Alligator mississippiensis: one gene and its partners. The protein of the gene in region 2 interacts with the protein of the main gene of each other region in a pairwise test. Links are inferred from orthologs where the notes say so. Each region holds a gene or a part of one and is shown on either strand. Other genes may lie near its edges. The genes, in order: PTPRD, PPFIA1, DTNB and PTPRF.

What was found.
Region 1: the proteins of PPFIA1 (region 2) and PTPRD interact in a two-hybrid assay, tested with the Homo sapiens proteins (2 studies listed by BioGRID). The link is inferred for Alligator mississippiensis from reciprocal best matches to the Homo sapiens genes PPFIA1 and PTPRD.
Region 3: the proteins of PPFIA1 (region 2) and DTNB interact in binary tests that used the Homo sapiens proteins (3 or more experiments, as listed by UniProt). The link is inferred for Alligator mississippiensis from reciprocal best matches to the Homo sapiens genes PPFIA1 and DTNB.
Region 4: the proteins of PPFIA1 (region 2) and PTPRF interact in a two-hybrid assay, tested with the Homo sapiens proteins (2 studies listed by BioGRID). The link is inferred for Alligator mississippiensis from reciprocal best matches to the Homo sapiens genes PPFIA1 and PTPRF.

What each region holds. Positions count from the first base shown.
Region 1 is NC_081826.1:185,283,837-185,291,307, reverse strand, and holds the start of PTPRD (receptor-type tyrosine-protein phosphatase delta), read right to left. Parts: upstream 3,004-7,471; 5' UTR 2,828-3,003; intron 1-2,827.
Region 2 is NC_081825.1:215,795,304-215,802,340, forward strand, and holds the start of PPFIA1 (liprin-alpha-1), read left to right. Parts: upstream 1-4,037; 5' UTR 4,038-4,873; intron 4,874-6,841; coding exon 6,842-7,037. UniProt on the Homo sapiens protein: May regulate the disassembly of focal adhesions. May localize receptor-like tyrosine phosphatases type 2A at specific sites on the plasma membrane, possibly regulating their interaction with the extracellular environment and their association with substrates.
Region 3 is NC_081824.1:1,020,927-1,027,987, reverse strand, and holds the start of DTNB (dystrobrevin beta), read left to right. Parts: upstream 1-4,039; 5' UTR 4,040-4,153; intron 4,154-5,363; 5' UTR 5,364-5,442; intron 5,443-7,061.
Region 4 is NC_081828.1:625,396-632,802, forward strand, and holds the start of PTPRF (receptor-type tyrosine-protein phosphatase F), read left to right. Parts: upstream 1-4,404; 5' UTR 4,405-4,560; intron 4,561-7,407. UniProt on the Homo sapiens protein: Possible cell adhesion receptor. It possesses an intrinsic protein tyrosine phosphatase activity (PTPase) and dephosphorylates EPHA2 regulating its activity.

The DNA of each region.
Region 1 (7,471 bases), on a different chromosome or scaffold from region 2:
ATCTGTACATTTTATAATTTTGTCAAGTTTATTTCACTATTTGCAAAGTTCTTGCTTTCTATCAGCTCCTCAATATTTGCAGGGTGGAACTAAATCAAAGCTTACTCTAAGTTAGTGGATTGCATTTACTGACCTGTTCTCATCCTCACTGAAGGTTGTGCTAGTAAACATCTTTAGTAGTGACTCCTAAAATGCTTAAATGGTCTGTTCTCTATTTTAGCCAGTGATGTCTTAGTTTTTCTCACTTGCTACAATGTTTAGAACTTGTAGAATAAAAAATACACATTCCCAAGTTATGACTAATAAAAAGGTTTTAAAAAATCCAAGCCATACAAAGCAGACTGTAAGTAGTAGCTAAGTATTATTTAATTCACTACATCAGCCACTTTGAGATACAGCCTTGATCTAGTCTCTTTTTGTAGTCAAGCATCACATTGTCTGTTCACTGTCACTTTATTCCATAAAGCCAAATGCAACAAAATGCATTATCTGTCAAAATTGTCCTTAAACAGTTTTCTGAATTAAGTCAAATTACTGTGCAAAATTGTACCGTACTTTTCTAGTATACTTTTACACTATATAATAATATTAAAGCAGCAAACCCTATTTGACTTTATCAACTGTAACTGTAAGCAAATGCAGGTATACAGCACTTTATTAGTAAGAATTCCTACAGTAAGCACACGTTTGAGGAATTAATCATTCATCCCCTGCAGACTGCTTATATATTTCATCAGGCCATTATCTGATCTGAATAACAAGAACAATTGCATAATAAAACACATTACTGCTGACACCAGCAACTTTATTCTATCAACTTGAAGATGTAACTATCTCTGTTTCAAGGAAGGCAATAAAGATTTTTGAAGTCCTCTGTTGTTTCCTTTGAACTACACTGTCCTGATTTGACATTCTCTTGTATTAATAATAATGATCAAGATCATATATATGATCTAACATAATACGCACAAGATTTAATTTTAAGGACTTTAACTCTGGTCATTTCCCATAGCATGTAATAATAAGTTACTGCGCAAGAAATATATATACATCAAGTCATTTTTTATAAAGATCGTTAAATATCCCCACAAGAAATTCTATATTTGCACATATTTATAGAATGTCCCAAAAATGGAAAAGTAAAGACTAGTCAGCAAATGAATAAAGCTGTACATGTGTTGTCATTGAATCCAAACCAAAGAGCATGTTTGTCTCTTATACTTATGGAGTAAATATTAATATTAATAGTTTGGCAAAAGAATAAAAAGGACCCTATATTAAACACTCTACATCACATGTGGCATGTCTGGGGATTGCCTTGTGCTACTATGATCCTAACCTAATAAACTTTTATCCATGATGTCTCAAAATGCTTCATGCATGTTAGCTGGCTACATCCTTTTAATCCTTTCCACACAAATTCATCATAACAGTGAGCAGGGTCTAAATGTTAGCTATTTCTAGTATTAAAAAAAAAAGAAAATGCTTCATCCAAGCTAAAAATAAGTACGTAGCCATGAAACAATAGGACGTCTATGTCATCATATAATATACTGTTATTTTTGTTACTTCCCAAGGTTCAGAAGTTCTTTAGACAACATTTCCCTGCCATAATGCTTCCATTAGTGTCATAAAGAGGGCCGTGATGCAATAGGTAAGTTGCCACTAGTTCACCATCCTGGGAACTTTTATGTAGACCCTGTCATTATTCCTAGTGTGGAGTTTATAGGTAGCCATAGGCAACTGTGAATTTTATTCTACTACTGTACATCTTTGGTATTACAGTCTGTATTACGTTTGTGTCCAAAATCAGATCCGTCTTATTGGCCCTCTTGTCACCATATGCTCTCGTTTGATTACTGAACAAATAAAACCATCCGATTTCACACTAGTAAACTTGCACTTTTGCAAACAGCCAATTGCTGCTACAGGCTCCAAGTTAAAAAACTAAAATAAATGGCATTAAGATGCATCATAGACTCAGGCTGGGGTGCTTGACAAAAAACACATTTGAAAAACATAGCCGCAGTCTTATAACTTTGAAAAGTAATGGGACTGAAATGCCTCCTGATTAGAGAGCTGACGGGAATAATCCACAACAGAGTCACTTTTGCTGCTGCACCATTTAAATAAAGAAAAAAATTTAAAAAAAGAAAAAAAAAGAGAGAAAGTGCATGATGTGACATGGGAAATAAGGTGTCAGGACCCTCCTGCACACCCCCCCCCCCCCAATTGCAGTCCACCCTGACAGGACAGAGAGGAGTGCAAGAGGGATTCAAATCCAAGTCCATTTGGCAGTAATAACAGAAAGAAAGAAAGGAAAAAAAAAAAAAACCCACGCTGAAATGCTATTGATTCCTTCCAGTGCATTCAAAACAAACTGACTCGACTCTTATTTCTCCTGACGTGACACAAAGGTTTTATTTAGAGATTACCAAACCCTCGCTGGTGCCTTCCAGCCTCCTCACCCCCCTGCCCTGCCCTGCCCTGCCCTTACCTCCCGGCGCCAGTGCCCCCGTGCCTGCCCGCCGGCTGCGGGGCTCGGGGGCCGCCAACGCCGGCCGTGGATGCACTGTCCCGGGAGGGCTGCCGCGTGCGAGCGCTGCCGGGCTCCGCTCGTCTCTCCCCCTCCCTGGTGCCAGCCACCCGCTTGCCTTAAGTTTGCCCTATGAGCTCTACCCCGCCATGCAGCCTCTACTCCTCCATGCCTCCGTGCAGGGAGGGCAGCCGGCAGCTCGGCTCCAGAGATCGGGGTGGGCAGAGGCACCCACCGCCCGCCTCCCCTCAAAAAGGGGCAAATAACCCGCGTCTCCCGGCGCAGCATCACCTTTGGGCTCCGGGGGCTACGGCCCCGCGCGGGAAGGGGCTTCCCTTCGTCTCTGCCCCCGGCTCCTCTCCTTCCTCTCGGGTGAAGTTGCACGAGGCAAGTTTCCTTGCCCCGCGGGCACGTCCTTCCCGGAGCAGCCGCCGGTCTCGTGCCCCCGCCCCGGCAGGCGGTGCCCTCGGGGAGCCGCGTGCCCCACCTCCGCCGCCCGCCCGGGCTCCACGGCAGGGACCACCCCCCTTCCAAAAATAAAATCAAAGAAGATAAATCCTCCCCCGCGCAAAGCCCCGGCGCGGGGCCGGGAGGAGCTACCTGCAGCGGCCGCGGCGGGGGCAGGAGCAGGAGCGGCTCGGCTCGGAGGTGCGCGGGGAGCCGGGCGGAGCGCGGGAGCCCGGAGCCGGCGCCGCGGTGCAAGTGAAACACTCGCGCAGGCTCCGGCTCGGGGCTGGGCGAGAGGAGGGAGATGATGTGGGGGGAAGCAGCAGCGGCGTCTACACACACACATGCACGCACACGCGCATCCCCACCGGCGGCGGCTGCGGCGGCCCCAGCCCCAGCCCCGCGCTCACCTGCATTTCCTTAACGAGCCACTTGATGGCTCGAGCCGCGCTGCCTCCCGGGGCCCAGCCCCGGCCCCAGCCCGCAGGGGAGTCGGGGGCGCTGTGGCGGCAACTTGCCTCCCCGCGCTGGCCTGAGCCCGGGTCGCGGCGGGCCCTACCTACCTACCCACCCACCCGCGCGGCCGGCTGCAGCTGCTGGCTCCCCGCGCCCCGCACGGCCCGGGCTCAGGCCGAGGGGGGAGGTCGGGGCACGCACACACCTACCCACTCAACTCCTCGCCCGAGCGAGGGGGATGTGTGTGTCACAGAAAGTGTCAGCGGGCAGGTGTGTGTGTGTGTGTGTGTGTGTGTGTGTGGCTGCGGGGGTGAGCGCGCGTGTGGTGCACGTTCAACAACCCCGCGCCACACAGAGCGGGACCCGCTGCCCACCCCCTGCTCGGCATTTGAGGCCAAAGGAATAGCCGATCTTCCCGCTATTAATAATAATAAACCTCCTCCCTCCCTGGGAAAACAATTAATAATGCATTAAGATAATGCCCCTTGGAAGCCACGGGGCCGGCAAGAAGCAAACGGGGAGAGCGGCACTTAGCGCAAGTGCGCGGCGCGGCAGGGGACGAGGCTGCCCCGGGGGAGCACAGCCCCCGCCCCCCCGGGCCCAGGGGCGCGTCTCTCCGGGCTGAGCGGATCCTGGCCTGGCACCCCTCGCCCACCCCCACTGCTTCCACCGGCGGGTTAAGCAAAGCATTTGGCCCTTTCAGTGTTTTCCCTTCCGTCCCTCCCCTGACGATACTTTGTGTGTTTTAAATAAAGATTTCATTCTGCCAACCCGCAGGAAGCTTTTAACAAGATGCAGCTGAGCGTGTCGATATCTTCTATCTTTTTCCTGCTGCTCCGGCGTGTACATCAACTCCAAACCCGGCTCTCCTCTTCTCCGCCTTGTCCTGTGGCAGCTCGGCGGGGCGGCAACGCTCAGCTCCGGAGCTGGGGGGGGCTCAAAGTCATTTCCAGCAGGGAGTGGGGCTGCAAATCCTAACGCCATAGACTGAGGGGGCCCCACGGCTCCCCACTCCCTGGGGAGTAAGGAAGCAAGGGCAAGGACATCTGCATTCCTTTACTATTACTTATATATGTATGCATGTAATACTGTATTACATATGTATATTACTATACTATGTCATACTATAAGTAATAGTATGGTATAATTATATATACACTATATTATTACTTATAGTATTGTGTGTGTATGTATGTGTGTGTGTGTATATATATATACACACACACACACACACACACACACACACACACACACACACATGTAACTACATTTTTAAGAGTGGCTTAATATATAATATACAATATAATAGATATATATGTAACTATGTTTTTAAGGGTGGATAATATATATAACTACATTTTTAAGAGTGGCTAGTCAGATCTTTCCTGGAGTAGATCATATCAACATTTAAATTGCAACAGGATTTGGAAATGCAGATCAGTTCTTCAGGTCAAGAAGTCTCTGCGGTTTGCCTCCTGTTGGGAGGACTGTGCACATGTGCACGCACACACCCATGGGCAAATGATTTTCACCAACTCAGAATGGTTTATTAAAAGGCTGTATGAAAAGAAAGTCTTTAAGTACAAAATAATACTAATGAGGATAATAATAATAATAATGCAGATAATAATGAAGACAAAGATGGACAACAATAATAAAAATACTACTACTACTAATAATGCTAATGAAGATAATAATCTCCATTAAATGCAACTTTATTTGGCATGTCAGCTACCTGCCACTGAGCTTCTAAAGCAAAGCTGCTATACATGGGACTAAGGCACTTCCATTTGGAGACACTACCACCCCAGCCCCTAGCTGTTCAGTTCTTGGTTGCAATCACCTGCTTATGCCTGGCTAGCAACACCTCCTGAGGCAGCACACAGCAGCAGGTTCAATCCAAACCAGCAATACAATGCAGGCCCAAGACGCTGCAAATTCATAATCAAAACAGAGGAGTCTCAGCCAAAGCCTGTTTGCTAACCTGGTTTTCAATCAGCAGGGAGGCGTGATCCACTTGCTTGCCTGATGCACTCATTTCACCTTGGACAAGGAAACGCTGCACAGTTTTCCAAGCAGTGACAATCTGTCCCAGCTGGAATGATAAATACAGGGATTCTCGGTAGGCTGACAAAGCATTCAAATGCGTACACCTCCTCTGCCTAAGGCCGGGTGCTTTAGAGGCAGAGGTACTTAGGAAATGATCTGATCTATATTTTTGCAGGGTCATAATGAACCATTTAGGTCAGGATCCTGCATTCCTCAAACATGCCAGAGTTCTGCTGAATTCAGTGTGCATTCACAAAGCAGAAAATGGCCCTGAATAGGTTAGGAGCTCCACCTGTGTCCCAGCTCCCGATTACAATAGGTCAGGATCTCTCCTCAAAATGTAACAGAGGAAGCAGTTCCACATAACTTTGATCACTCAAAATACTAAATGATGAAGATACGGGGTTTAAAAAAAATAATGCAAAGAGAAAAATCTCTCTTTCTCCTCTGCACTGTAAAAGAAAAACCTATACATATATCTTTTCTTAGACAGATTGCCTGCAAGTAGCAATCATGTGAAACAAATCAACATAATATGGATGCTTTCACCTGAGTAGGTCGCTTGCCAGTTCTATATTCAATTATAAATAAATATGCTCCCATTTACTCTAATAAAGTTGCAGATGTCCTGAGTTTAATATACAATACAGGAATGTAGTGTAGAACTGTTTCATAAAGTATTATTATACCTTAAGTAACTTAAAACCTACCTCAAATATGATTTTTTTTTAAATTTCATTTGACCAGAGACCTATTTTTCTTGATTCCCTATTTTTCTCAAATATGGATCTATTTTCCAGCCCAATATGCGTTCTCTCTCTATTTCATTCCAAGCTTATTTATGAAGAATAGCTTGTACCATTGTAGCACCACGATATGCAGCAGCTTTTACTTATATCAAAGTTCTGTGCAGTGTACTATGTTTAGGAATCATATTACCTGCCACTGAAATGCAGCCGCTATTCTGCATCAAGAACATTACACAATGATTTACCCGATTTGTAAAGGCTAAGATGAAGTCAGCATTACAAAGTATCATAAAAGAGGGAGAAGGGAACAGTGGAGAGGGGGTAGATGAAACTGTTTGGGGAACACAGTTTCTGAAAATCACATGGAAAGCTAAATAAAATTATGGCATTTAGAAAATGGGGAAAAGATTAATTTAAAAAATAGTAAAAAAATATCACTTTTCCAGGGGAGAAAAAAGTTCCAGATTTCAGTGCTTGCCAAATCTTATTATATCACCTGTCATTTGAAATAGATAAACAAAATTCACCCTAATGGCAATGTTGTACCTATGACACTCCCCCCTCCCCACCCCTCCAAAGATACCATAATAATGGTGATTTGGGTACCAGCATTTTATAAACCAGAGTAGTAAATTTGCTGTCTTACTTGTCATCAGCACTTTTTTAGACATATTCTACTTCATTTTCTTTTGACCACTGTACCTTTCAAAAGTATGGCTGAGGTTGGACATTTTATAAATAGTGGATATGAAGTTAATGTAAATGAAAAAGGAAGACTGGGAAAAGTGCAAACATAACAGTTTCAAGATGCAAAATACCAGCTTATTTTATGTCTGCCTTTAGGGATGTGTTGGCACTTACTTTTCTTTTTAAAACTGACTTTATTTCTCAGCCCTAATACATTTTGTGAACTAAGAGCTCCAAAGGGAAATGGTAGAAACCTCAGTTTATGGAATACTTAAATGAGGCTGTGCAAATGGGGGTTCTACAGTGACACCCATGGGATGGATGGCAAGTGGCAGGAACATTCCTTATGAAGCTTCTTCCTGAATATTTGGTCAAGAATAGAGATTGCTATTGCTGGAGTGAGCTGCAGAGGTGGGTCATGAAATCTCCCCATGGATTCTGCAGAAGGCCAGTGCAATGCACACAGGCCACCTGGGAAACACTGTTTGTCCATTATTACTGTAGGTCCACAATTACACGGTCCCAGGACTGGGTACCCTATTCATAC
Region 2 (7,037 bases):
AAGCAGAACACATTAAATTGTATATTGATGCTTCCCATTCAGAGGGGGGAAGTTCAGTATGCAGCCATGTTGGTGAAGCCAGCTGCTTCACAGTTTAAAATGGAGAAGGGAAAAGCAGTTGCAATACTCCTTGTGGGTTCTTGGGGTGCCTGGGACCTTTTGCCAATTGGGGGGTATTGCAGTGTTTCCTGCATACAGAAAACTGGACAACTTTCAGTCTAACTTAAGTTCAGTTTACATTAGGGAAAACAATAAAACAAGAAAGGACAAAAGTCCAAAGAAGATAACACAATGTCTCGGTCTTCCTTGTAACATGTTGAATCGTTTCAGAATAGGATGTTTCTTTCCACTGTGAATAGGCAGAATTCTTAAAGCGTACAGGTGCGGTGCACAGAAAACAATGTCACATGCTGCTTATACGGCTGCCTATAGATCAATAATTCACTGCTGGCGCCACACCCACTGGTGTAAGCCATAGACAGGGATCAGTTTGAGTATTCTTATCCTTGTGGTTTTTAAACCTTGTCCAGGCAAAAAAGGGACTTGTGAAAGCTTTTCATTATCCAAGTGGAGAATTATCATAATATTTCCAAGCATGGGCAAAACAGAGTAGAAGAAAAATTTGTTGGTTTTAAAAATTTCCTAGTTTTTAAATTGGGATGATTTTGGATTATTTTTTCTTCTCTTCCTGGTAAAACCTGCAGGAGGGAAAATATACAAGCCCAAATAATTCCAGTCTAATCAAATAAGATTTTTTTGAAGCTTAGAGCTATGTACAGTGCATTTTTAAAAGTATATTTTCATAGCCTCCACATAGGAATATATATTTTTTCCATAATATTTTAATTTGAAAACATTTATATTAATTGGGGTTTTAACAATTGGATGCTTACTCTTCAAATAATTCCCTGTAAGTGCAATGGTTTACCTATATAGAGGCAGTTCCAGAACTAGAACTTGGGGGAGAAAATCCACTAATTCATTGTAGTCCCATTTAATTTTATTGGGCTTCTAGATTATTTGCTTGCCATCACTCATAACTAGTCTGCTGTATGCCACATACACAAGCCACAGGTTGGCCACCCCTGTTTTATAACAAGAGTTCTGATCTTCTGGCTATTTCTTCCTAAGTAAAGCTTGTGTTCACACGGAACCCCTCTGGCATCATTGGGCTTCAGTGCAGACCCACTTAAAGGATGGGGGCCAAGGAATAAATCTGAAGCAAATCAGAAGCAAAAGTGACTGTTTTCCAACATTTACGTTAAAACCTGTGCTTTTAATAATGATTATGTATAAAGTTTTACTGAGATCATTTTGACAGCACAGGTATAATTAGCAAAATCAGTTTTCTTTTCTTCTAGGAATAACATGAATTAGTTTCAGCTTGAATATTTACTCTTTTTCTACATTAGAAAACCAGATCTTATTACTTTGGATAATGAAACTTGGTTTGTGGATTAGTCAACACAAAATCTGTGCTGACCAATGTTGCCTGATTTTTGTAAGTTGTAGGAAGTGGCCCAATATGTGGTGCTTTTAGTAAAGCCACAAATTTCAGAATTATGTGATTCCATGAAAATCTTAGCTGTTATTTTTAAAAAGGTTTTAAACTACTTGGTTGCAGAGAAAAGCTTCAAGAAACCTGTGTTCACCTTTATGGCTTGGATACCAAAGGCAGGTATGAAGAACACAATGGGCATGTCTACATGTGCATTAATGTGATTTTCCTAAAGCATATTAAATTTAGTACCTCCAATATGAGGTAATAAATAAATGTACATCAGGTTGTGCTAATGCATGGTAGTGCAAGCACACACATTTTAGGTGATGCTTAATGTGCACTAACCTATTTCAGGGGTTCCCAACCTTTTTATGCTGAGGATCGGCAAACAGTGGACTGGGAAACTGCGGACCAGCAGTGACTTGGCATACTGTGGGCAGGAAACAAACCCTTTTTTATACTCAGTATAAAAACTGGCTGCCAGTCCAGAGTATGCTAGTCACTTCCAGTCCGCAGTTGGCCAGTCTGCAGTTTGCTGGTCCGCAGTCACTTCTGGTCTGCAGCAGTCAACCTTCCTGCAGACCAGCAGCCAACCCTTTGCAGCCCAGTACCAGGCTGTGGCCCGGGGGTTGGGAACTGCTGGCCTATTTTACTGCACATTAGCTTACTAGCATGGTTTTTAAGTGCTGCTTCAATGCGCAGTAGAATAGGCTACAGCACATTAAAGTGCACATGTAGATGCTCTCGTTACATATTTATTTTTAAAGATTTTTTTTTTAAAGCCAGTATCACAATTCTTTGTGGGACAGACTCAGTGTATGCTTAATTTCAGTACCATGCTTAATGTCACTTGTCTCACACAAACCTGTAACAAGCTGTTTCATGCAGTCCCTGTTTCCTTTTGTGCATTCCAACAGCCCTGCCGCTGCCTCTGCTGAATTGAGGCTCTGGGTTTAACAGGACTGAACCAGTCTGAAAATGCTGCCATCAGTAATCAGCACTGCTGAAGGCAAATATTTAAAATAATACCATGTAGTATCAATCAGCCTGTACTTGAGGTTTGAATTAGAAGACTAACACTGTTCCCCACGCTTTACGAAATAAGCTCCCTCCACCAAAGTGAAAGAGCTTTCAGTGTACTATAATACCAGTTGTCTATGGATCTCCTCAGTCCCTATAATAATGACTTCCCTATTTACTGGAAGACTGTCATTCTGGTACTGAGGGACTGGTGCTGCTGAGGAGTCCCTGTACAGACAGCTCTTTGGTGGAGATGCAGTTTATATTGGAGAAAGTTCTTTTGCTGATATGGCTTAAGTGTGTTCCCTGATGGCAATAAGCTATAGCAGGAAAGGACTTTTTGTTAACATGCTGGTATTTACTGACATTGCTTTATCAGATTAGTGGCTTGCTTTTTTAATTTTAAGTAGCTACTCATAGACACTATGCTACTAAAACGTTGTCGTGTAAAGCAGGCCTTAGGGCTGTAAGGCAGTGCATCTGACCACATGAAAGCAGTTTCACTGGCATAAAGGTGCTTTGTGCTGGTAGAGGTATTGCTACCAAGACTGGAATGAGTAACCATTATAACAAGGCAAAGATTTGTTTGTTTTTTTGCGGGGGCGGGGGGGGGGTCATTCCATTGTTCATTGGGTCCAGGGCAGAGTTGGAGTACAGTTAGGCATGCTTTCCCTTTGAGGAGGGAGCAAGTGAACACAGGGAGCAGCGCAGGATCATCTTCATAAGGATATCTGTGTCAAGAACATCACCACAGCACTATTTCGAAAATAGGCGAGGTGTTTTCACAGAAAATGAGGGCTGGAAGGGACTGTAGGACGCCATCAAGTCCAACCCCTGCTCAAAGCTGGACATCTCCCAAGTCAATTAGCCCAGCCAAAGTTTTGTCTAGCCAGGTCTTCAAAACCTCCAAGGATGGAGACTCCACCACCTCTCTGGGGAACCTGTTCCAGTGCTTTCCTACCCTCGTAGTGGGAGAGTTTTCCCTAATATCCAACCTAAACTCCCCTTGCTGCAACTTGGGACCATTGCTCCTTGCTCCATCACCAGCCCCCGCTGAACCCAGCCGGGCTCCAACCTCGTGCCAGTGAACACTCGTGTGATCTCCCCAGCCCTGGGGCTGTCCTGATCTCTCGCTCACCCTCCAGGCTGCTGGTTGCAGCCTGCCTGAGGAGCAGAGGGCGGCGGGCAGCGCTGGAAGAGACCTCCCATGGGCAGTTGCGAGGGGGAGGGGCACAGTAGCGGTGAGACCCTCCTCCCTCCCCTACACCGCGCCCCCGACCGTCGGACGCTACCACTACCTGGGGGGAAGGAGGTAGGACACGACACCAGAGGGTACTACCATTGGCCGCGGGACGGGGGGCGGAGGGCACTACCATTGGCTGCGGAGGGTGGAGGGCACTACCATTGGCCGCGGGACGTGGAGGGCACTACCATTGGCTGCAGGGGGGTGGTAGGATTGTCTCCAGCCACTGCTGGCGTTAAGGCGGTGACACCTAATTGATTGCCAACATTTTTTTTTTTTTTTTTGCTCTGGAAAACAAGAGCGCGCCCCTCAGAGGCGCTGGTTGTGGGCAGAAGCGGAGCGCAGGACAGTCCCCCTCCTCCCTCGCCGGGTGTGTGGCGCGGGCAGCGTCCCACGCACGCGCACAGTAGCGCAGCCCTCCGCGCTCTGGAGCCCAGCGTTCTGGGGCTGCCGCTGGCCCGAGTCTCGGCTCCGTGGGGGAGGGGCCTGGACCCGGCGCGAGCCGCGGGGCGCGCAGTGCATTGTGGTCGCGCAGTGATTGCTGCGGGCGCGGGGCACGCCGGGAGCGGCGGCGGCGGCGGCGGTGAGAGTGCGGGTGAGGGGCCCGCGCCGCGGAGCGCCCCAGGGTAGCAGCAGCCGGAGCCGGGCCCGCGAGGACGAGGCGCGGGCGCCGCCATCCCCGCGCCCGGGGTATAAATGAGTGAGCGACGCGGCAGGAAGGGCAGGATCCCGCGGCTGCGACCCCAGCGCCCAGGAGCTGCGGCTGCTTCCCCCGCCCGGAGCCGCGGGCGAGGGCGGCGCTGAGGCGGCAGCGGACACGTTCCCCCGCCCATGGTCCCGGCGGCGCCGAGGGCTGGCAGCGGGGAGGAGAGGAGCTGAGGCCGGGCTGGTGCCTGGGGGACTCGGGGGCCCTGCTCTGCGCTCCGCCGCCTCTTGCTCCGGCTTGGGGCGCCGGGACGGATATTGCAGGGCGCTGGATGGCAGCTCCGCGCCGCTACAGGGGCTCGCGGCTCCTGCAGCGGCAGTAGGAGAGGAGAAAGCCGCGGGGGAGACCTGGTGCTGCCGAAACCCTGGGCCCACGGTGACGCCGCTTTGTTTCATCGACCAAGGTAAAGCAGCGAGCAGTGGGTGGCTGGCGCCTGCCTCAGATCAGCTTAAAAGCCCCAGTATAAAACAGTGCTGGTGCTTGGGACAGGCCTTCCCGGGGAGCTTCTCATTAATTCAGAAGTGCGGGCTCTGCTTGTCACAAATAAGTTTAACAACTGCCTTAGGAACTCCAATATTAGGAAGTAGGCACCGTACTTTCGTTAGGGATAGTTTAAAAGTTGCACGTGCAGCTTCATAAACCATCGTTTGTTCAGTTCCCGTGAGAAAAGTTGATGGCAGTTGACACTGTGGTACTGTTGGTTATGTATTTCGTTGCTTTTCAAATGCAGGAGGACAGAAACTTCCCTTGGTTCTGAAGTCTGGGTGGCCCAGGATTCAAACCAGGCTGTAAAATGTAGGATCCCTCCAGCATGAGGCCTTATGCTTTTGCCATTACTAAGCATGGTGGGGTGTACAACAACGATACTTCCAAGTTTATATTTTTATCATACTCTCTGCGTGTGTCTCAGTCCCTCTTTTTATATCTGACAGCTGCTGATGTAGCGTGCTGGCTAGCAGTCAAGTCCTGTTTGTTTAGTATTTAAGACCTTGAACAGCCTTTCTTTTCGTTTTCACTTTCTCCGGGTTGACCTCTTGGCTTTCCCTGTGGCTGCATCCGGGTGCAGAAATCCGCTGTTGCTAATTTTCATGCAGTAAAATTGTCCAATAGAGATTTTTGTGGCTTCGGTGGCAGCTGAAAGTAGTGCCTCTTCCCAGGATGGTGGAGTGCAGTATCAAGAGTTTGAAAGAAGTATGATATAGGCTTCAATATGTGTGGTTTGTGGGTTTTTTTGTTGTTGTTTTTGGGTTGAGGCGTGCTTAATACTGTTTAAAGGTCCAAACAACTTTTTAAACAAAGCACATGCATCCTTTATAAATTGGCATCAGAAATAGTGTGGTAGATGTGTAGCTTTTCAACAGAGTTGGCATTGGTAGGAAGTGATACTGTAACAAAACTGCAATAGTAATATTTTTCAAACCTAAGACACTGGTTTATATAGCCTTAAATCCAGTAAACTATAGATGTTTGGCTGTGTGCATAGGGTTAAGCTGTAGCAAGTCGGGATGTCCTATTTGTAGAGGGGGGAAATCCCCCACTCTGTATACATGCCCTTTTCAGAGTGACCAGTTTACTTCTGAATGAATGAGAATTATTTTCTCCCACTTTGAAAAACCTATCTTTTAATATTGTCCAACATACAACCCAGTTGTTTTTCCTGCAGCTGGCACAGGGGAATTTGTTTCAGGTTTGGTCTTAGGCTTTGCTTCTCTCTTCACATACAACATGGTGTCTTATCTAGGTTAGGTTAGCTTCTAGTATTGCTGTCACAGGTGGGATTAAACAGATGGTGTATTACAGATACACACGTATGTGGTGTAGATAAGATTCTTCAATAGTTTTTTTTTTTTTTTTTCATTTTATGTATCTTGTTTCAAGGGCCAAATCAGTTCCAAATTCACTTGGGCAAATCTCAAAAGCCAAGTTTCAAATTTCAACTGAGCAGAGCTCAGTCATTCAAGTCCATGTGGCTCTACCGCTGGGGAAGTATCTTCCTTCTCAGACGCGTCAGTCTGGGGCTTCGGATACTCCCCGAAACTCTGGCAGGCATCCTACATGCAAGCCCAGGGCCCAGAGACCCTGGGGTTCAGATGCCCCCTAGTCTTGTTTGCTCCTAACCAAAAGATCAAGGAGTGAGCCAGGAAAAGCAAGAAAGCAGTCCCACTTTCCTATGCAACTGTGTAGTCGAGTTTCCCACGTTTGGGAAAACTCTCGGGTAAGCCTGCCCAGAATGCAAGGGACAGGCCTCACTCTTGGGGGGGAAAAACATCATTGTATCTCCCTAGGCTTATGAACATTTTTGTTTTTGGATTTGTATTCTGTACTTTATTGCTAATAATTAATGGCCTGAATTTAATTTCTTAATTTCAAGATGATGTGTGAGGTGATGCCAACCATCAGTGAGGCAGAGATTCCCTCTGGGGGAAATGGAGGCCATGGTTCAAGCTCCCCGTTACAATCGGATGCTGATTCCCATTTTGAGCAGTTAATGGTGTCTATGCTGGAAGAGAGGGATCGTCTCCTGGAAACACTAAGAGAAACTCAAGAGACACTAGCTTTGACACAGG
Region 3 (7,061 bases), on a different chromosome or scaffold from region 2:
ACTTCTGGAGGGACTGGACGTATTTAAATCAGCTGGTCCTGATGATCTCCACCCCAGAGTGCTGAGGGAACTGGCAGAAGTCATTGCGGGACCCCTGGCATGGCTTTACGAGCACTCGTGGTGCTCTGGGGTGGTGCCAGAGGACTGGAAAAGGGCCAATGTGGTTCCCATTTTCAAAAAAGGGAGGAAGGAGGACCCAGGAAACTATAGGCCCGTTAGTCTTACTTTGATCCTGGGTAAGCTTTTTGATGGAATTATTCTGGAGCATGTCCATGAGGGGCCGGCAGAGGAGGTTATGCTTAGGGGCAACCAACATGGGTTCATTAGAGGCAGGTCCTGTCAGATCAACCTGGTGGCCTTCTACGACCAGGTCACAAAATCCTTAGATGCAGGGGTAGCAGTGGACGTAGTCTTTCTGGACTTCAGGAAGGCCTTCGACACCGTCTCTCACCCCATTCTCATTAAAAAACTAGGGGACTGTGGCGTCGACACCTACACAGTCAATAGGGTCGCTAACTGGCTGGAGGGTCGCACCCAGAGAGTGGTGGTGGACGGGTCGTTTTCGACCCGGAGGGATGTGGGCAGTGGGGTCCCCCAGGGATCAGTCCTCAGACCCGCGCTGTTCAACATCTTCATCAGCGACTTGGATGAGGGGGTAAAAAGCACCCTGTTCAAATTTGCTGACGACATTAAGATGTGGGGGGATGTGGGCATGCTAGAAGGGAGGAATAGGCTGCAATCAGACCTAGACAGGTTACAGGGGTGAGCAGATGAGAACAGGATGGGTTTCAACACTGACAAGTGCAAAGTGCTGCACCTGGGGAGGAAGACCCAGCAGCAGACCTACAGGCTGGGGAGCTCCCTTCTCGTCAGTGCAGAGGCAGAAAAGGGCCTTGAAGTCATTATTGATGCCAAAATGAACATGGGCCGACAGTGTTGGACGCGGTCAGGAAGGCCAACCACACCTTGTGCACCCACAGATGCATCACGAGCAGGTCCAAGGAGGTGATCCTCCCCCTCTATGCAGCACTGGTCAGGCCGCAGTTGGAGTACTGCGTCCAGTTCTGGGCACCGCACTGCAGGAGGGATGTGGACAGCATGGAGAGGGTCCAGAGGAGGGCCACCTGCATGGTCAGGGGGCAGCAGGGCAGGCACTACAAGGAGAGGCTACGGGACCTGAACCTCTTCAGCCTCCACAAGAGAAGGCTGAGGGGGGGATCTAGGGGCCTGTTACAAACTTGTCAGGGGGACCAGCAGGCATTGGGGGAGTCCCTGTTTCCCCGAGCACTACCAGGAGTGACTAGAAATAACGGTCACAAGCTGGCAGAGGGCAGATTCAGACTAGACATCAGGAGGCGCTACTTCACAGTCAGGGCAGCTAGGATCCGGAACCAACTTCCTAGCAAAGTGGTGCTGGCTCCTACCCTGGGGGTCTTTAAGAGGGGGTTAGACGAACACCTTGCTGGGGTCGTTTGACCCCAGTACTTTTTCCTGCCATGGCAGGGGGTCAGACTTGATGATCTGCTCAGGTCCCTTCTGACCCAACCAACTATGAAACTATGAAGTTGCCACTGTGATGTGACGTGATGGACTAAAACCTCTCAAGACCAAGAAATACCAAGTTAAGGCAATGCAAATTTAGATTTCAGAAAACCAGAAAAGAAAACACCTGTACAATGCGAACTTTCCTCTGCCTGCTGGAGCTAACAATAATCATTGGGAATGATTCAGTAAGGAGCTGACATCAAAAGCTGGAAGGAGCTGATTGCCAACTGACCCCAATGACACCTTAACCTCAACCAAGTGGCAGCCCACTTTGAGGTAAAGTTTTTTGCTCTCAAAGCAGAGAGTGCAGAGAAAGGAAAAGGAGAGAAATCCTTGCCTGCAGCCTACTCTCCCCTGTGGAAAGACCTGCAACTTCTGTGGATGGATTTGTGGCTCAAGCACTGGACTCTTATGTCACCTCAAACCCGTCAATGAGCCATGGTAGAGATCATCACTGAATCGAGGAATTGCTGCTGATGACAACCACACGTGATTCTGACCACTCCAGCACCCATGTGCTGCTCTGTGACCACCCAACCAGACCTTTCTCCTCCATGATCCATTTTCCTGTTAAACTTGAAGGAGCCATGAGAAAGTGATGGTGCTATTTTAGGACACGTACCAGCTGGGGCTGGATCTGTAAAATTCCTATGCCAAATCTTGCCTTAGCACATAAAGGAATTCTACGTTTACATCTGCAGCATCAGAGGCTCAAACCAGCATGAAGTGGCCCAGTTACTCCAGGGATTTGTTCTCTCCTGAATAACGCCCCTTTGGAAATGGAAACAGAATGAAGAAGTTGCTTAGGGACGCAGGAATTGAATCATTCGTTTCAATGGGAGTTCTTGTGCTGCCTTTCATTCTGTGTTTGGGCCCTGTATCAGATTTCCCCTTTTTCAGTTCCCAGCTGTGATCTAAGCATTGTGTACCATCAGGCAATTGACATGCCCGTTTGCAGCCCCTCGCTCCATCTCAGCACCGAGTGCCTGCCACGTTCCCATTCCCATTCCTCACTGGTCTCGGCACTTCAGCTTTTGGAAGGGGGACTGAAATGCAACATACAGGTGTGGGGGCAGAAATGAAGTCCTCACACCTCGCTCTGCCCCTCTTCATATCCTTTTGAACACTTGTGTACTGGTCTGACTTATCAGTCCTCCTGCCACATCTGACGAGATTAATTCCTTCCCTCACTTGGCCCCGTTGTTCAAGAAGAGTGTGAAAAATACAAATACTTACCTGAGGCTTTTATCCTCATCTATTTAATGCTTATGTCTTCAACGCTACTTCTAGAGTGAAACTGGAGCCTGCAAATGGGTTTGAAAGTGCTTACAAATACCCGTCGGACCATCAGTTTTAGCCTTGAGGCAAAACTTGCAAAACGTAGCTGGGGAAACTGCGGGCAGAGGCTATCGAACAGGTGTGTAACGTGCTCCGAAAGCTGCCGCGGGCAGGGCTCAAACTCAAACACGCATCCGTAGAACGCTAATGCACGTAGTCCTCACGGCGCCACAGTTATTTTTCATACCGAGGTCATAAACCTGTGCAGAAATAACAATAATTCATCTTAAAATGTCACGAAGATCCGATTTCGTGGATTATTTTTATTGTGCGGGGCCTCTTCAGAGGGATGTCGCTTAGGGCCTCCGCACGTCATCGCGATCCGGACTCCCGGTTGCCCGTCAAGCCTCGTTTTAGGCAGCAAGCGCGTCTTCTTTCGTCCTGCGCAAGGGGCGACATTGACCCCCGGGCTTGGCGCCCCGCCAGCCTGCGCCGGGCCCAGTTCGGAGCTGTCCGCAGGCAGGCCGAGGCCTAGAGCGCGCTTTGCCCTCAGACGGGTCCTGGCGCGACCCCGGGAGGCAGGTGGGAGAGGCTCGGTGAAGCACGACGTGGCCCCCACGGCCTGGAAGCTGAGGGGAAACCTCCATTTCAGCACTTGCCAAATCTCACAGTTTTTGGCGTTGTTCTTAAATTCTGCACTTTGCGGATGTGACTGACTGAGGTCTTTTACATACATGTATATCCCTCTATGTATGTATGTATGTATGTATCTCTCTATACGTGTACATCTATAGGTATCCACGTCTCTCACAGCCCACAAACACTCAAGGCCTGTCCCCTCAGAGCCACGCCCCCCTACTGCGCCTGCGCGCTGCGGAGGAGGCGAGGGGGCCGCAGGCGACTGTTGGGGGCGAGGGGCGGCCGCCGATGATTGGCTGGGGGCGAGGGGCGCATGGAGGTGCTCGCTGATTGGCCGGGGGCTCGCGGGAACGCACGCGACGCACGGAGCGCGTCGCCGATTGGCCGGAGGAGCGTCACGGGGCGGGAGGGAGGAGGAGGAGGAGCAGGAGGGGGAGGGGTTGGGCCAGCGCTGCCGGCGGATTGGCTAGAGCGGGCAGAGGGGGCGGGGAGGGGCAGGCAGCCGCCGCCCCGGATTGGTCGGTGCGCGCGCGCCCCTGCGGAGGCGTGCCGCGATTGGCTGGAGCCCGCGAGGCGGCCGGGGACCGTTGGAGCGCAGCGCAGCGCAGCGGAGCGGCTGAGGCGGTTTCCGCAGAGGACGGGGACGGCGCGGCCGCCTGCTCCGCTGCCCCCGGGCCGCCGGCCGGGGAACGTGAGTGCGGATGTGGGGCGGGGCGGGGCGGGGCGGTGCGGGCTCGGGGCGTCCCCTTGCGCCAGGGGGGGTGGGGGCTGCGGCCTGGGCCCCCCCCCCAAACCCGTCCTGCCCCTCCCCTCCCCCCGCCCCGTCCAGCTGCCCTCTCGTCGTGCAACACCATGGCGGGACGGGAAGGGACGGGACCTGCCGGGGCCGCCTTGAAGCGTCTGCCCGCGCGCCAAGGGCAGGGCGCGTTGGAAGAGAGCATCTCCCTGCGCCCTCGGCGGCGAGGCCAGGGGCTCCCCACCTGTATTTCGCGGTTTGGGTGTCATACAAACCTCCGAGCCGCCCCTGAGGCCTTCCCGCGCGCCCCCCCCCCCGCTTCTCGGGAGAGGGTGGAGCGGGGCGCGGCGGGGAGCAGCCTCTTCGGGGGGTGGGGGGGTGAAACTTTCCGAGGAGGAGCGCGGTCAGGCAGGAGAGCGGGCGGCTAGAGGTGCGGGGGGGCGGGGGCTGGTAGCAGCGCACGGCCGCGCTGGGGCCACGTTGAGGGCTCGGCGAGTGGGCACGCGAGGGGAGAACCGGGGGTAACGGCCACTAGCTCCTGGACCATCGATTCGGGCTCAACGTCAGGGAACACTTCTGCACGTTTGGGGTGTCCAGATGTGGAGACTGGACGGTCCCGTCGCCGGGGTTGCCTGACCCCACGTGTCTTCCCTGCCGGGTTCAGGGGGCTGGACCCGACGATCCTCCGAGGTCGCGTCCGCCCTGACAAGCTGTGCGCCTCCGTCCTTGGAAGCTTTGAGGAGCAGGCTGGACGGACACGCGGCTGGGATGATCCTGCCTTGAGCAGGGAGCTGGACTGGATGCGACCCCGGGAGGTCCCCTCCGGCCCGACGTGCTATGGTTCACCTTAGCCGTGACCGGGTCCCGTGGCGAGAAGCAGACGTAACGTTCGTGAGACTTCTAGAGCAGCGGTTCCCAATCTGCGGCACGCGAACGCAGACAGCCCGCCGGTGGTACCTGTTCACAGACTGATTATAATGACTTTATATGACAAAAACGTGCCGGGGGGTACTTAAGCTTGAACTGAAAAGTTTGCTGGCGGTACTTCAGGTCGTATCGTGCGCAGCCTGTCGGTTTGGGAACCGCTGTTCCAGAGTGAAAAGTGAGCTGGGAAAATGGCGGACCTTGTTTATAGAGGACAAAACATTTCTTTTTCCTTTTTTAGGTTGCCTTTAAAAGTACAAAGAGGAAATTGTGTATAGAAAAGTGAAAGTTGTCCCTAGAAAGCTTCCTGTGTGATCCAGGTAATGCTGACTGTTGTAACCAGCCTGTGATATCAAACATATATGCGCATAGGTGCAGATACATTAACGAAATTATTGAGTTAGTGTCTCATAATGTATATTTAACAATTCGTCCAGGGCAAATGCTTAGTACAGAGCAGTGACTTGTACATCTAGACCTGTGAAAAATTCTTTGTAGAATGTCAAAAGTGCCTGCAGCCACATCCATGGTAGGGAAGGTTAGGCCTGATGAATATTGATATAGGAGACCTGCAAAGAAAACTTTGATGGTCTGGACAGTGTTGATTCAGTAGGTGGCACTCTTCCCTTTGGAACTGAACCATTATCCCAACATTGCACCCTTTTGGGTAGGACTGTGCTGCTGAAAGTACCGTTTTCAAGTGTTTAAAGCTAAATCTCGGCATTACCAATTGACTACATTTCAGCTTGGACTACCTCCCTCCAAAATATCCTTAGTAGTTTCAGATGGAGAAGCTTTTCTTCATGTCTTATGTTCTCAATTTTTCTGCAAAGTGTGACTGCTGATACTGGCTACCGTGATCTATAACAGGCCTGTCTAACTGGTGCTCTGTCTCTTAGTGGCTGGCCTCCCCCCGCCATTGCTCTCCTGTGCTGGTCTCTCCCTCCCTCTTCCAGCTTCCATTTCCTGCCCACAGCTTTGAAGGTGGGGCATCATGGGGTGGCCCTCGTTGCATGTTCGGTTGGCTCCTAGCTACTTAGAAGCACACCTGATCTCCAGCGGTGGGGACAAATATCTTTGTCAGGCGTGCCACAAAGTAAGCCCTGCATCCACCCTGAGTGTCACCCTTATCTGTTACCCCTGACTGATCTGTTGCTCTGCTTTCTCCCATTGCCCTGTGCTCCCTGCTTGACCTGTTCCTTTGCTTTCTATTCTCTGTCCTATCTGCTGTTGTGTTCCTTGGTTTCCTCCCTGATCTGTGCACTACACAGGAAGGCTTCCCATGCCATTTGTGGCATGCGCGCTGCAGGCTGGGACACCTGGACTTGGATGCAATTTTAATTATAGGCCAGTAATGCAAAACATGTATACATATATATTTCCAGACAAATCTTTGTAAATAGGGAGTTGAAATTCAGAGTTCATAATACTGAGTTGAGGGAGAGTAAAACAAAAAGGACATGGATGTTTCAAGTATCCCCCCAAAAATGTTACAAACCCATTTGAAAAATTCAGACTAGTATTATCAGGTAAGAGATGTAGAAAACTTTTGTTGTCATGTAATGACATCAGGCAAAAAAACCCCATACAATTAGGATCTTATTTTAGTTTTTTGTGATCCCAAATCATATTAGTCCAAACTGTAATAATTTTTTTAAAACATTTTTTATGTGGTTCTGTCCTTACTGTGTTACAGAGTTTGTTGTTTGGGAGTCTGACTGATGTATTTATATACCTTAATATTTCTTTTTAATTAAACTTTGAATGTCCTGGGTATGTAAAGCTTATTTTTGTTGGTTGTTTTTGGGGTTTTTTGTTGTTGTTGTTAGGGGTTTTTTTTAAGGATAGCTGTATAATGTTACGGACCATCTTGAACATAGAAAAGTTAGGAATTGTGTGGAAAAGTTGAATACTATCATATGAATAATTGGCTATTGTG
Region 4 (7,407 bases), on a different chromosome or scaffold from region 2:
AGCAAGGAGAGACCCCGTAACTAATATGATTTGTAGAAGGCCAGCTTGCTGGGTTTTGTAAGAGGTTTTTCTTAAATCACCATGGGGGTCAAGCCCTTTTCTGATTTATATTGCTCTTTGAATTTATTTTTGGTGGGTGAAAGGCAATGGATTCACTGTACTGTGGCCTGGTGGCCTCATTTGTCCACAGAACAGCTGCAGCACAGGCAGTGACAAGAAATAATTACTCACCTGTATTTCTGCTTTTCTGAAGAGAGCACCTGACTGCATTCCCACTTTGGGGCGGCAGCTGTCTAGCACGAGGCAGGCCAGCACTCCCATAGCTCTCGGATTTTGGACCTTTGAAGAAGTGCCAGCTCCACCTGCTGCCAATACCAGCTGTCCGTGCTCCAGCGCCCCTCTTTACCACATCCTGTTGCAGCAGGAAGCAGAGCGCTCGTACCCATTAACAGATGCCCACGGGATATTTACATGCCAGGAAGAGACTATCAGGGAAAAATGTTTCCAACCGTACCCCATCCTAGCTTCGTGCCAGGTGAGTGGGAGTTCATAGCTAGGCTTACTATTTATTTTTCTGATTGTGTCTTCAGGCATAAATCAAGATCATAGACCCATTGTGCTTGGTGCTGCCCAAAAACATAGAAAAAGAGAGTCCCTGTTCCACAAAATGTACTAGCTAAACAGATGAGACAGACAAAAGGTGGTGGGGAAAAGGAGGATTTCTTGTGCCTATTTTACAGAGGGAGCCGAGGGGTTGAGAGATTAACCGAGTTGGCTAAGGTCACAAAGAGAGTCTGTGGCTGAGCGAGGTGTCCCAAGTTTCACACTCGTACTGTGATCATCAATTTTCCTTTCTCCAGTCAAGCAATATCTTCAGAGAAGCAGACTCATGGGTGAGTAATTATCCCTTGTCACAGATAACACAGGCTGGACTCCTACTCTTGGAGACTAAAATGCTTCAGGGACCTCTCTCCAAATCCATAGCTCCTCCAGTCACAAAAAAACCTTTGCAAGTTTATTTTTATACGCAGGAGTATTACAGAGACTTCCCATAACACTGTCTACAACAGGAAGTGAGTGTTGGGGGAAATATTAAAAAGATGGTGAGCAGTCAGAGTCAAGATCACATCTTCAAGGTGTGCTGCAAGGGAGATCTACAGATGGAAAATATTTCTTTGCAGTTGCTCACAGTCAAGCATCAGACCAGATATTACCGGACATCATAAGCAGTGGCAGGAAACAGTAGTTTGCAAGAAGACCCTCCTCATGAAAAATCATTTCTGGAAAGGAAGTGCCTCGGATGGATAATGTCCGTTAAACACATAGTGCAATCTCCCAGACTTCAGTAGGTCAGTCCCATAGAAACAACTTAGTGACCTATGTGGTATTAAAAAGCTAGTGACCTGATCCCTTGACATTACAGTATTCCAATATATTAACTGTAAACAAGACTCGTTCACAAATACATATACACCAGCCACTCCTCACCCTCCAGACAAAACAAGACAGGAATAAAGGAGGGCTTTATAGTAATCATTTTTAATAGCATCAAGCAGCTCAGCAGAGATCTGGCCCCAACTATGCCAGGTTTTGTACATCTGCACAGTCAGACGGACTGTCTCAGAAAACTTGCAATCTTAACAGACAGAGCAGACCAAGTGCATGGCAAACAAGGATGCAGAAAGGCAAGTGACCGGGCACTGTACGTAGGAGGCCAAGTGAAGAAAGACCCAAACCGACAGAATCCACCTGAGACTGTCCTATGTCTCTGCATGTGCAGCACCTAGCATGCTGCACCTCCACCCCAGGACAGAAATGTGCCTGAGGACCCTGTGTCCGTCCTGACCCTTCTGCTGACCCTGACGAACTCGGCTGTCGGTCTGCCTTGCATCGAAGGGCGCCCTGCACTGAGATGACATACACCTCAAGGATCTGAAGGGTTGACAAGCTGGCACGTCCTACACCATCGGATAATGATCTAGTCATGGAGCACCAAAGAACAATTCCTGGTTGACCCTACGTTCTTCAAATCCTCCAAGTACCGACCGCTCTGCTTCATGCAGCCAGATGCACCAAAACACCACATCTGGAGGCAGCTGTACTGTATACTGAGGCTTCTTGCTTCAGAAGGCAAAACCTTGCTGGGTTGCTTCCATGGGACAGCTGTGTGCCTGGAACCGATGTATAGGGTCTGTAGCATGACTTAGTAGAGGCTTAGGGCACCAGAAGTTTATGCGCCAGGTACGATGAACCACAGTCACTGAAGGCCAGAATTTTAAGATATTTAAACACCTACAGGTCTCTTCAAATAGCTGGCCCACAGCAAAATTTCAGCGTCTCAACCAGCAAGCTTCCAAAACAGAGGAACATTTGGAAGTGGACTGATGTCATCATCTTTAACTCAGCAGTATTGACACCATCTTCGCTGAGGTCGAGTCCAACACGTGGATCACGTATTACTGTGAATTTCTGGGACGCAGGGAAGTCCTGATAACCTGCCTCCCGCTTTGCAGTTTTGCAGCAGTATGCGGACCGCCAGTTTGGGGAAAAAGATCTCAAACCTCAAGGCCTTTCTGAATCAAAGTCTCTCTCTCCAGGAGGCAGAAATACAAGACTAGGTCAGGTGCTTGTTGCAAGGTAGAGGCCAGACTGAACATGGATCAAATTATTCTCAGCTGGAAATTTGAGACGTTATTCCTTCAAAAACTTGGGGCAACGACTCTGGGATGGAGAAAATGCTACGCCTCCCCTAAAGACTCTTCACCTTCTAATATCACTTTGGTTCAATCCGGAAAAGAACGAGAAAAAGACAGCACCTCTGTGCATCAGACAGATGTACTGGCACCCGAAACTCTGACGGGAAGCTCGATGCCGCAGGAGGCGCTGAGATGTCCAGGCCGTGCACAGGACGCCAGCTCTGCTCACGCCTCGCGCACCAAAGCAGTATCCACACCTGAGGCACGTGAAGCAATAACCCACCGAGCACAAAAATAATTAATGCACTTAATCTACAGCAGCCAAGAAATTCTGCTCATCTCAAAGGCATGCAGATAACTTAGACAACTTCAGCCATGCAGATTAAAGCATCAAAAGAGCTACCAGCGATGCAAGAAACTGCTTCTTGGTCCAGGGACTAGAGGGGAACCAGAACAAAGAGATAAGAGGATACGGAAAGGGCACAGATCTGAAGGCTGGAATAAGCCTTGACAGACACAGGCCCGTAGTCGATCACGGTTGAAATGGGCCTGAAACAGCAGCTGATCTGCTCGTCCGAGAGCGCCTCAAAGGGCCCAACGTACAGCGTGCCGGGCCCTCTGGCCTGCGTGTGGAGAGCGGGGAGACCCAGGGACGGAAGTGGTCCGATCGCTGCCGTACTTTTACAGGACGTACACTTGCTACGGCCACGTGCCTCGAGCTCGGCCCGCGGGAGCTAGTCCTCGCAGCCGGCTCCGCTACGACGGTCAGGTCCAGTCGCGAGATGGACGTTCCCCCGCGACGCGCTCGACGAACCCGCCAACTCGTTTCTCGCGGCCTGCGCGTGGCAGGCTGCCCGCCCTGCGGGATCGCCCCGGGTCACGCGTCCCTCATCCACCCCCGCGAGACGCGGGCCGCCCAGCAGATAAATGACAGGGCATTCGTCGCGTCGAGTCTGATTTACACGGTAGTCGCGTGGGCTTTTAACAGGTAACAGTCACGAGCGTTCTCCTTCCTGACGTCGCACCTGCGCTTCGCGGCGTGCAACCGGTGCAGGCGAGCACGCCCGCACGCGTGCCAGGAGCTGCCCCGGTCCGTCGGCGAACGGCGGCCGCGGTCGCTGCGCCCGGCCGGGTTCGAGCCGCTCCTCGGAGCCACGCCGCCTCCGTGACCGGTGTCCCCACAGCCAGGCCAGCACCCGGCACGCCCCGGCGCTACGTTGCAGCGCCTCCAGGACACGCGTGGGATTGACATGTTTGGTAACACGCGGACAAATCGTGCGGCTCCACGCGGCCAGGCCGACCTCGAGGGGCCGCGAGCCACGGGACAGCGCTCCCCCCGGCCGGCCGGCCCTCGCGCGTGGGGGGGGGATCTTCTCTGTGGGCCCCCGCCGCCCTGCGGACCCGGCCCGCCCCCCCCGGGGTCCCGCGGCAGCGCCCCACGCGGCTGCTTCGGCGGGGACCCGCGGGGCGGGGCAGGGCAGGGCACGACCCGAGTGGGGCCGCGGGGGAGCTCGGCACCGGCATGGCGGGCAGAGGGGCCTGGCCCTGCCCGGCCCGGGCCCGCGCGGGGGAGCGGCGCAGCCGGGAGGGGTCGGGGTGTGAGGGGCGAGGCCGGGGCCGCGGGAGCCGGTGAGGCGGGGCGGGCGGGTGCGGGTGCGCGGGCGCGCGCGGCCCCGGCAGGGGCGGTCCGGCGGGCGGGCGCGCGCAGTGCGCGGCCCCGCGGCGGCGGCAGGAGGAGCGGCGCGGCGCGGCTCGGCTCGGACCGGAGCGGAGCGGAGAGAAGCGAAGCAGACAGAAGCGGCTCGGCTCGGCTCGGCGCCCGGAGCCTGGAGGCAGCATGCGGCCCCCCGCCCGCCCCGCCGCGGTGAGTGAGTGAGTGCCCGCCCGCCCGGCCGGCCGGCCGGGAGCGCTCCGCCGCCGCCGCCTGTTGAGCCGGGGGAGCCCGTGGCCGGGGCGGCAGGTGCCCTCCCGTCCTCGCGGGGCCGTGCGCGGCGTGTGGCGGGCGGGCGGGCCGTGTCGGTGTCGGTGTCGGGGCGGGCGGGGGGCCTCACCTGGGCGCGGCGCGGCGCGGCGCGGCGCGGGAGGCGCCATGGCCGCGGGCCGGGGGCGCCGCTCCCCCCGGCCGGCCCGGCGCAGCCCCCGCGGGTGCGGTGCGGGGCGGTGCGGGGCGATGCGGCGGGCAGTCGGGGCGTCCCCTCCACCTGTTGGCGGCGGGGCCGAGCCCCCGGCGGAGTTTGCAGCGGGCCGCGTGTCGGTGCGGGGCTGGTGGAGCCGGGCGCGGCGGCGGCGGCGCTGGAGGAGCCGAGCCGAGCCGAGCCGCGACCCGAGTTGTGCTGAGCACTTGCTGTTTGGAAATGTCGGGAGGCGGCTCCCGGGAGCAGGACGACGAGAACGCGGCCTCTCCGTAACCTAACCACCTTTGTTCGTTTCTCAAAGTACGCGTTAGCGAGGTGACCAACTTAATCCGGATTACCCGGCGCCTGGCCTGTGGGCGACGCGTCGCTGGGGCAGGCGGGCGAAGGCTGCCGACGCGGGTTTCTAAGTGAAGTGTGCGGCCCTCCCTACGGTCGCGTGGAAAACGCCTGGCTCACGAGAGCGGTTTGACGGTGGGAGGCCGTGTAGTTTAATCCAGGTTTTATTACTTCTGCCGTGGCGCTTGGCTGCGGGTCTGAGACCTCGCCGTGATTTATCCCCGTGCGCTCGGCAAGCTGAACTCGGTACGCCAGAAGTACGCGCTGTGTTACGCCGGCCGGACCCGTCGTGCGAGGTGTGGGAGGGAGGGAGGGAGGTGGTCGGTCGCCTCGCCTCGCCTCGCGCTGCGCTTCTGGTCGGGTGCCTTTCGCTCGCCGACTCGACTGGACTCGACCGGGCTCCGGGGAGCCGTGTTCGGGCATGCAGCCCGAGGCTGGAGTGTGATGCACCATGAACATACATGCAGGGGGTTAAAACCACGTATGTGTGAAGAGTCCGCGCACCACTTATGCTCGGCAGGCTTTTATAATTCAGCTGAGTTACCAATATTGCCATCTGCCCTTCCCTCTACGCGCCTGGCCGTAAATGTGTCTTGGAAAGACGTGGCTCTGAGCAAAGTAGTAGAAACCATGGCTGTGTTGTCTTATTCTCGTGCTTGCTGCGAGTGAAAATGTCAGTTGTTAGGGAATCAAAGGAGAAACCTTCCTGTGCCGGTCTCGTTGTGCGACTGGCTTGAGAGGCGTACAGGTATTTTTAATTTCTTTCTTGCTCATCACACTGCTTTTGGGAAAATGTGAGTAGCTCCTGTGCTGCTGCCAATGACGGTTATCTGAGCTGGTGATTAGAAAGGAGAAGGATCTAAGCTTGTGGGTAACGGAGAAGAAATGTTTTCCTCTTTGAGTCCACATAATGCAGGGCTGTGGGAAGAGATGCTTAATGAGGATGATTATTGCTGTGGCTGTGGCTTTCTATAAATCCACTTGTAATGGAGGCTTTGTACAGTTGCGTCTGAATCTGTACATTTAAAAACTGCAAATAGCGATAATGGAGTTGGCTAATAGCAGACTGTCAAGTAAGTGCAATCCTTGTGATAACGTTCAGCCATAGATCTCAATTTAAGTATTACTTCTACCACAAAACGTTTCTTATAGAAGTCACTGTATAAATAGTCTAAAAAAATGCTGCTGCCTGTTTGTTCCTTATGCTCTTGAATCCTAAGTGAGGAACTTCCTAATTAAGGGTGGGTTCCCCACTCGGATCAGGGGGCTGTAGAGCCCCTCCGACTGGTGCGTAGCTGGTTCAGAAGACCTCGGTTCTGTAGAGACGTTATTTGATGGTTAGAGACTACAGGCAGCTGATAGGAAGAAGCATAGTAACCGGCTTAAACAAAAGCATTATTGTTTATCAAATTGCCAAACCTGGCCTGGCATGCATGAGAACAAAAAAAGTTTAGACTTGTGTCTTATAATAGGATTGTAAACTTACAAACCCATGAAGCTTTCTTTTTTCGCTTTCTTTTTCTTTTGGATCAGCTAAATGCCACCAGGCAGCAGTTTTTATCCGGCCTTGCTAGTACGTTATTAAGGACAAACCTCTGCATTACAATTTCACAGTGGTTTGGTTTTTTTTTTTTAAGTGCCTTTTAGAATCCAGGGCTAAGAGTTAAACTACTTATTTCCATTATGCAACTTAAAAAGGCTGGTTCAAAGATGGTAAGGGAAATGCTGATATGTAGCATGTAGCAGACTAAAATTACTCATCTACTTGGCCTAAAACACGGTCATTACATCCCTCCGCATTCAGTAATTTGTGTGGTAGTTTATACATTACAATATGCTTTACACACAGCTTCAGGAGGTACCGTATAGTTAGCTCATTCTTGACGATCTGGGGACATTTCCCTGCGAGAACTTAGCTGTGATACTGTTCAGTCCATTACTTTATGTACACCTTTAATGTGGTCTGTGGGGACTTCTTAAACACATTGCATTTTGCTCAGATTAGCCAGTTTTGCCTATGGAAGCACATTTCACATCCACAAACTTTTGTGTTCAATTCCAGACTATACACTTACTTTCCAGTAGAAACTTGTAATTTTGTGGGAAGGTAGCTAACTAGGATTTCCTCTCTTGGAAAGAACTGCAGCATTTTTGTGAGAAAAGTGTCAGGAAGCACACACACCGCAAGGCCTAAAACTTAAGGATCAACCGTTACATCAAAATTGAGCTATACACATGCT